2 separate regions of the Mus musculus genome follow, and region 1 is reported to be linked to region 2. Evidence: microRNA targets listed by miRTarBase, many of them from high-throughput screens and not tested one by one. Region 2 holds a microRNA gene; the other region holds the end of a gene's coding sequence.
Evidence for each region. The annotated mature microRNA mmu-miR-1933-5p reads AGUCAUGGUGUUCGGUCUUAGUUU and lies in region 2 at 1,121-1,144, opposite strand. An mRNA with a match to its seed (bases 2 to 7 or 8) in the 3' UTR can be bound and repressed. Matches are read on the target gene's strand: a 7mer-m8 pairs with bases 2 to 8, a 7mer-A1 pairs with bases 2 to 7 and ends in A, and an 8mer does both.

Region 1 (4,212 bases), not on the chromosome of region 2:
AGTTCAAGGCCAGCCTGGTCTACAAAGTGAGCTCCAGGACAGCCAGGGCTACACAGAGAAACCCTGTCTCGGAAAACCAAAAAAAAAAAAAAATGAAGACACCTCTGCCTCCTGAGTGTGGGACCTATAGGACTGGGCTATCATGCTTGACCTATTCTTTAAGGGGGAACCATACACAGAGCGGAACTGACATGCTCAGCTCTTTTCCGTGGTGCCCTTTCCTTTTCTTTCTTAAAATGTTACCTCTCTCTCTCCTGCTGGCAGCTCTCTAAGGGTCTTGTCTTTACATCACTTGTACAAGACCTAGTATATGATGTGGGGAAACTAATTAATGTTGCAGACTAGAATATCTGGGTAGCTCTTCTGAGCTCTGAGCAAAATGGAGAACTCCCTTTACCAGCAGCCTGTGGAGCCCAACACCCCTACCCCCTCTACTTGGGAAAGGCAACTTCCTCTTTCTGGATAAGAACCCGCCCAAAAGTACCTGGCATTCATGGACTACTTCTCCATACAAATGAGGCATTCACAGTACTTTAAACTCTAGCCAATGATTTTACAATCACCCTGGAAACTCCTTCCCACTCTCCATGGTTCATATATATCCCTTGTCCTTCCTGAATAAAGTCCACAAGCCCACCCCAATAAAGGTGTGTGCACCAGCTGTTTCACCGAAGATTGGCTAAGATTCATTCAGTACTGTCTAAAGAGCTATAAACTAAAATCCCTGGGGAAGCTGCCTCCTCCCTCCACTACACTTCATCCTTTCAGCCTGGTATGCAGCAGTACCTGGACATCCTGAGAGGGAGAAACGGAGGACACATACTACAATATGGAGGTGCTTAATGATTGTTTCCTAAGTGAATTCAGTGTACTAACTGCATCTTGGCCACTTTATGAAAATGAAGATGTGATCTGCCTTATTGGGTTTCTATTTCCGTGTCGAGAGAAACCATGACCACCTCAGCAACTCTTAAAACAGACATGGTGCTGGAGTAGCTGAGAATTCTACATCTTTGTAGCAGGGAAAGAACTGAGACACTAGACCTGGCTTGAGCATATGAGACCTCAAAGCCTGGCCTTCTCCAACAAAACCATGACTACTCTAGCAAGGCCACACCTCCATTCCAGATGAGCCTTGGTCCAGTTTCAAACTACCACAAGATTAAAACAGGATAGATTTAAGAGTGTTAAAGATTAATTTGAGGGGCTGGAGAGATGGCTTAGTGGTTAAGAGCACAGACTGCTCTTCCAGAGGTCCTGAGTTCCAATTCCCAGCAACCACATGGTGGCTCACAACCATCTGTAATGGATCTGCTGTGTCTGAAGACAGCTACAGTGTACTCATATATATAAAATAAATAGGCCTTAAAAAAGATTAATATCAAAAATCCTATTTTAAAATTAAGCTGTAACTTCTTTAGGAGGTAGGACTATAGGTTAGTCTAGAGTACATGATGTGACTGTCTTTGAAAACTGTTAAGTTGTGATGGCAAGATGGTTTGGTGGGTTAAAGGCTCTTGCTATGAAAACCTGACGTCATGCCTTCCACCCCTGGCGCCCATGTAAAGGTTGAACGAGAGAACTGACTGCACACAGCAGTTGTCTCTGGCCTCGCTATACAGGCCACACACACCATGCACGAGCACACACACATATAACAAACCTCAAACACTCTGAGGAGAGCTCACCACAAACCTTGGTTTGTCATGGAGGAAGGGAGCATGGCCATCCTTTGTCATCTCGTGTGCCATCTGAGATAGTTGCTGTGCTCAGCCTGTGCTGAGATAGGTGCTGTGCTTAGCCTTGGCAGCTGATTGCAGTGGGCATCAGTTAACCAGTAACTGGCCAGAGAGCAGAGGACGTGATGGTGAAGGGCTGACAGATCTGTATGGCCCTTACTTTCCACCCCTCCTACAACCAGAGAATGTCAAGTGAGAGGGGTGGAAAGTAAGAACACGAGGATAGGGAGCTGGAAGGGAGATAGAAAGCAGAAAGATGTCCTCCGGATCTGATGCAGCACTCATTAACTGCAGCTGTGCTTATCTGTATGCATCTGTATAAGACCTGTCAAGGTGTCATTGTGAGGAGGGTACCTTTGAGGCGGCGCCCCTCTGAAGGGGTGGTAAGCAGTGGTTGTGAAGGAGAGTGTGAGTGCTGCTGCTAGGTTGTCCTTGCTCAGGAAGTGAGTTCCCTCTCAGCTTGAGGCAACTCTGATGAACCTTGGATCACACACACAAGACATGAAAGGAGGAAGCTGTGCTTGGGGGAAGGGAAAAACTATGCATGCATATGGAATGGTCAAAGAATCTTTAAAAAAGAATTGGAATAACTCAGATGACTTTTTCCAAAAATAATTTATTTTTATGTGTGTGTGTGTGTGTGTGTGTGTGTCATGATGGAGGAGTTGGTTCTCTCCTTACACCATGTGTGTCCCCGGTATCAAACTTAAATTGCAAGTGACTTTACCCACTGACCCATCTCTCTGGATCCTCAAATGTCTTTTTAAACAAAACAACCAAAACAAACACCTGAAACAAACCAACAGCTGTTCTGAAGCAAAGCCAGATGCTGCGTACCCGGCAGCTGTGGTGGGCCCTGTTTGCCACCTTCACAAGGAGAAAAGGTGAAAGCGTGTGCATGGTGAAAGATACTTAAAAGTCTGGGTCAAAAGTCAGGCGTGGGTGGCACATGCCTTTAATCCCAGCACTCGGGAGGCAGAGGCAGGCAGATTTCTGAGTTCAAGGCCAGCCTGGTCTACAAAGTGAGTTCCAGGACAGCCAGGGCTACACAGAGAAACCCTGCCTCGAAAAAAAAAAAAGTCTGGGTCAGCACAAGAGCATATGGAAAGTAAAAATGACGAGGCTGGCTGGAATAATCTAGAAAAGAAAGAACTCTGGGGACAGCTGCATAAGGGTAACAGCTGTCCCCACGGCTCTCACTTTGTAAGAGGCCTGAGTAGCATGAATAGTTTGAACTCTGACTGATGGACTTAAGTTTAGCTGTTACTGTCTGTCTTGCTACTGGGTTCCCAATGACGACACAAAATAGACGAATGAATTGCTGACGTCTATTATAGACGTCATATATTGCATATATTTACATGAATATATGCAAGCTTTGAAATTTAAGCAAAGCACCTCAGTGTCCCACCTCTGCAAGGAGCATCAAAGTGGCATGACTCCTCTCAAGCGTGCCAGAGACACGGCTGAGAGGAGCTGAGATAAAACCAGCCGGGACAGTACTTTGGTCTGATTACCAGGTCAGTATCACAACTCAGCTGCGAACGGTGGCTTAGTTGTTTTAAAGAAGTACAGAAACGACGCAAAGTGAACTGTTACTAGGTTAGGAACTGTCTCTGACATTAGCAAAGGTCTACACTTAAGAATACAGTCTAATTACTACTCATGGGCTTCCTGCTGGCGCTCTGCAGTTAAATCTTCCTCATCCTCTTCCTGCAGCGCTGATTGAACACAGGGGAGGACCCCATGAGGCTGTCAGTGGAGTGGGAACCATAGCTGCTGTCTGAGTCGTCAGGGCTCTGAGGGAGTCCAGCCTCACTCATGCCTGACATTGGCTCCTCAAAGACATCACTGCCCAGCACCCCATGCGCAGACACATTGCCTTCTTCACTTTCTTGAGGTTCCATTTTCACGTGAGCCAGGTTCCAGAGAGGAGAAGCATTGACCTCTGCACCTAGAAATGAAGGGAAGGAGAGATTATGAGCCCACGGGGAGGCAGACACAGAACCTGCACATCTCGCCCTCACACAACTAGCGACCTCCGAGCTGCTTTCATTACAGCACCCCACATGGGATGAGGGTGTCACTGTTAGTCTGGGGTTCAAATGTTACCCCCAAATTACCACTTCCTTTCCACTTTCATGGTTTTTCCCTTCCCCTTATTCACCCCTACTTCTCCTATACCAAAAAAAAAAAAAAAAAAGAAAACTGGGTAGAAAGATTATGTTCAAAGGCAGACACAATTCCAGTTTACCCCCATAAGAAGCTCTATTTTCCTGTATTCATGCTTGCACATGGAAGCCACAGAAGGATGTGAGGTATGGAAGCATCTTCTTTCGTTGCTCTCTTATTGCCGTAACCTGGAAACTCAGTTTTCACTAAGCTGGCTGGCCAGTGTTGGGGTTGTGGGCACACAGCCATCCACACCTTTTACATGGGTGCTGGGATTTGAACTCATGTCCTCATGCTTGCA
Region 2 (4,000 bases):
TTCTCTGATTATAATGGGAATTCATACCTGGTACGATACAAGTACTCATAAACTCACAGCTGGGGAGGCCAGAGTGCTAAACTGTCATAACATGGAACCATCTCCCAAGTATATGGAAACAATTACCACTTGTGGTAGATAACATGTTGAGGTTTGGTCTTTTGTTATCTATTGTAATGGTAAGTGCGGCCCCCCAGGACCTGGGTGTCCCAGAGATAACTCAGTCAGCATACAGACCTTGCTCATAAGTTATTTCTGCTTGGTAAATAAAGATGCCAATAGCCAATAGCTGGGCAGAAGAGACATAGATGGGGTTTAGGTTTCCCAGGCGTGCGGTTGGAGGAGAAGGATGACGGGAGGGAGGAGAAGGAAGAGGAGAGGCACAGGAGGATAAAGGAGAAACCACCATGGGTTAGGAGTCAAGAGAACATGGCTCTGAAGGCTGGCCAACTGGAGTTAAGAACAGCCCAGATGAAACATAGCAAGTAGTAATAACTCAGAGTTACTGATAGTAAAGTAGATTCTAACAACATAGAGGGTAGATATCTGCCCAGCTCTTGTACTGTTTAAGGCTAACTGTAAATATAAAGGTTATGTATGATTTTTATCTGGGAACTAAATGATCTAAGGCAGGGTAGAAACCCTGGATCCGGATTAAATAGTTTCTACAACAATTACAAATGTATAGCTATATAGGATCCTGAGAATAAGTGACGGTTGAGTGCTTGGTCCTAAACAAGGCATTACGCCATTTCTTCCAAGGCTCAGGAACAATGCAGAAGAGGATATAGCATAAAGAATGTAAGTGTGGAAAATAGAGAGAAGGCCTTCCAAAAGCCCCCAAATGGGCAGTATCCAGCCAACTTAGGCATACCCTTCAAACAACTGGAAATGGTTTCGCTCAGCCTGCACAAAAATGAGCTCATTAACAGCCAGACGTGGATGAGTGAGGGGGTAGGTCTAATCTTCTCTGCTAAACTGTTTCCTACTGAAAGATTCTGGGAAACACAGTCATTACCTTCAGCAGTATACCTAACCAGTGACCGCACCACACTCACCGCAGTGGATAGTCCCAATCCAATAGTCACACTGATGGTCCTGGTTAAACTAAACTGGTCACAAACTAAGACCGAACACCATGACTGTGGGATCAGGACAGATATGCTGAGGTGCTGAGAGGAGTAGGGGTAACCAGAATGCATCTTACACATGTATGAAACTGCCAAGGAATGAGTGAAAGAAAGAAAAGGAAGGAAGGTAGGTAATTTAGAAGCCACAGGATTACACATATTACCATGGTAAAGATCCTTAAGTGCAATGCTTTCTCCAGAAGCCCATGCCTATATCTTGGTATTGTGTACTATCCGTTTCCCATGAGTCTGCCAAATAATTAACAAAATAATTAACTTTGTTTCACTCTGGGGCTTCTTGAAACTCTTTTCTGCAGCACAGGCAAGGATCTGGCTCTACCTTAGAGGAGGTCTCTAAGAGTCTCTTAGGCTGCTGGTAGCTGTGTTAGGCCGTCTCCCTGCTGCTGCTGAAATTTCCTAGGTTGGTTTTTACTAGTAAATGATCTATCAAACTTAATTAAATGAAAACTACTGAGAAGAGATATAGCTGAATTATCTACAAAGAGATGACTTGGCTATCTTGCATTAAGACTGTGGTTTGATTCTTACCATTTCAAATAAATAAAACAAAAATTAACTTTTGGCTTAGAAAATAAAAGATAAAACAAGCACCTTTGAAATGGTATTTCATGCTCTCCTGAAATTAGAGAATACATTACAATCCTCAAAGGGCTTTAGGACTATGTACATGAAGACAATTGTTTTAACTGAACCTTTCTGTAAATAATCTCTAGTCAATGGCCTGCTTCCACCTGTTTCCAATATTTAGTCAAGTCACAGGTACCCTTTGACATATCCATGTTTCCTGTTTTATAAACTTCGTTCTGAACTTTGGAATTCTCTCAGTCCTTTTGAGTAATCATCTTATGTTCACGGTGACTCAGAAAGAAGTTTTAAAATGGAATACAGACAATAAAAATTAGCTTAGATAGCTCTATTACCTTCCCAGCTAAAAACAAGATGGATTCTAAAAAAATTTTCTCTAACTCAAACTACTGTAAAATTGTTTATTTAAAAACCCATTGTAAACCACTTAATTCAATTTTTACATCTTAATCGACTTAGAGTATTTTGTTTCCTACTGTTGATATTTTTACCTGTCAAACTCTCACGTACTGCCATCTTATTAAAAATGGGAGCAATTTCAAATTACTGAAGAGATGTAAAACTGTAAAATCCCTGTGTACTTTAAACCTCATAAAGTACAGAAGATCTGATGATAAAAGAACTGGCAGAAAACCAGGGTGAGAAAATCAAAATTAAATAAAAAGCAAAAAATTAAATAAAAAGCAGCGCTTTACAGATGGCAAGCAAGGTCCTAGAACTTAGAAAGGTAAACATGAAGAAAAATCCACTCCTATACTTTACTGAACTCTCAAAATTTGAATAGAAATTCTAGGGGATTAAAAGACTTCCGAATATTTTTAAACTACAAAATGTAAAAGCAACATACATAGATGGTAAACAAGAAGCATTTAAACATAACAAAAAGGTACACTCCTCTTATAAGTTGTTGTAGATGTCAGACAGAGCTACGGTCATAGGATAAGTCAATCATGTGCAGCATGCGGTCCATATCCTTATCAGACAGGGTGGTGGCTTACACACAACATCCCATCTGAGTATGGATTAGGAAGGACAAAGTCAGGTGATTAAAGAACTTGCAAAAACAAACAAACAAACAAACAAACAAACCAGAATCCAAGGAAGGACCAAATAACAACTCTCTTAAGTCAAAATCTGCTAGCTTTAATAAAATCACCTTGCCTGCCCCACCTCACACTAACCCACTGGCCTAGCCATTGTTAGTTAGTTATATAATTCACATTGTGGAAGCAGGCCTGGGAAGATGGAGGTGGATAAAAAGGAAAGAGAAAGCGGCTGTAGAGAGAGTCCTGTGGAAGACTACAGTGCAGGTATATGTGTATCAACAGCTGTTCTCAATCTTCCTAAAGCTGAGACCAACTAACACAGTTCCTCCTGCTGTGGTGACCACCAACCATAAAATTATTTTGTTGCTACTTTATTCATGAATTTTGCTATCGTTAAAAATTGTAATATAAACATCTTGTGTTTTCCAATGAAGGAGCAAAGAAACTCTCTGGTTCTTTTTCTGACTCTAGACAAAGAACCAGCCACACTCACCATCTGTCCAACCAAAGACCACCATGAGAGTAACTTTAAGCAGTATTTTGGAGTCTTACTTTCACAGGTTTATTCTTTTTGATAAGCCATTTACTCTCAGAGAAGTCTTGTGTCAGGTTCACCCCAGGAGACCAGAAAGTCGGTCTTATCCCTGTGCCAGTTAGTCAGTTTTGGACTCAAGTCCTCCACAAACACAAAGCTAAAATGCTGATAAGTGATCTATATTTGTTTTGTAAAGATCTAGTTCTGTACAGTTTCTTTTTTTGTTTTTGTTTTTTGTTCTTTTTGCTTTTGTGTTTTGTTTTGTTTTATTTTGAGACAAGGTCTTACTATGCAATCCTGACTGGCCTGGAACTTACTACGTAGGACCAGCAAGTCTTGAACTTGCATAGATTTCCTGTCTCCACCTCTGGAATGCTGGGATTAGAGATGTGCAGAACCAGATCTGTAAGACAGCAGTTCTTAACCTTCATAGGCCATGGTCTCCTATGGGAGTATGGCAACACTGACTGTCTACTGTCTACTATGGAAAAAACAAATCACATACACATAATTCTAAATGTTATGGGGGCTTGAAATTCTTACAAAGATCTCTCAAGCTTCGGTACCTGGTGTGAACATTCTGCTGTTATCCTGGTTTTAAAATGGGATGTGTGGATATTCAGTTGCTCAAAACTGAAGAATCCCAACCCCCAAAAAGGATTAGTAAAAGATTCTCTCAAATA

Region 1: the mRNA of Supt7l is a reported target of mmu-miR-1933-5p. Seed matches in the 3' UTR shown: 7mer-A1 at 2,389-2,395.

Annotation. Positions count from the first base shown.
Region 1 is chr5:31,512,234-31,516,445 of GRCm38, forward strand. Supt7l (SPT7-like, STAGA complex gamma subunit) reads right to left here. Exons shown (of 5, transcript NM_028150.2): 5 at 2,336-3,693. The coding sequence ends at 3,431. It overlaps Gpn1 (GPN-loop GTPase 1), which reads left to right. Exons shown (of 14, transcript NM_133756.5): 14 at 1-671. Among named protein-coding and RNA genes, the nearest start is that of Supt7l, 12 kb to the right of the region's middle.
Region 2 is chr11:21,343,520-21,347,519 of GRCm38, forward strand. It overlaps Mir1933 (microRNA 1933), which reads right to left and starts at 1,156; the gene lies at 1,069-1,156. All of the region lies in intron 3 of Ugp2 (UDP-glucose pyrophosphorylase 2), which reads right to left.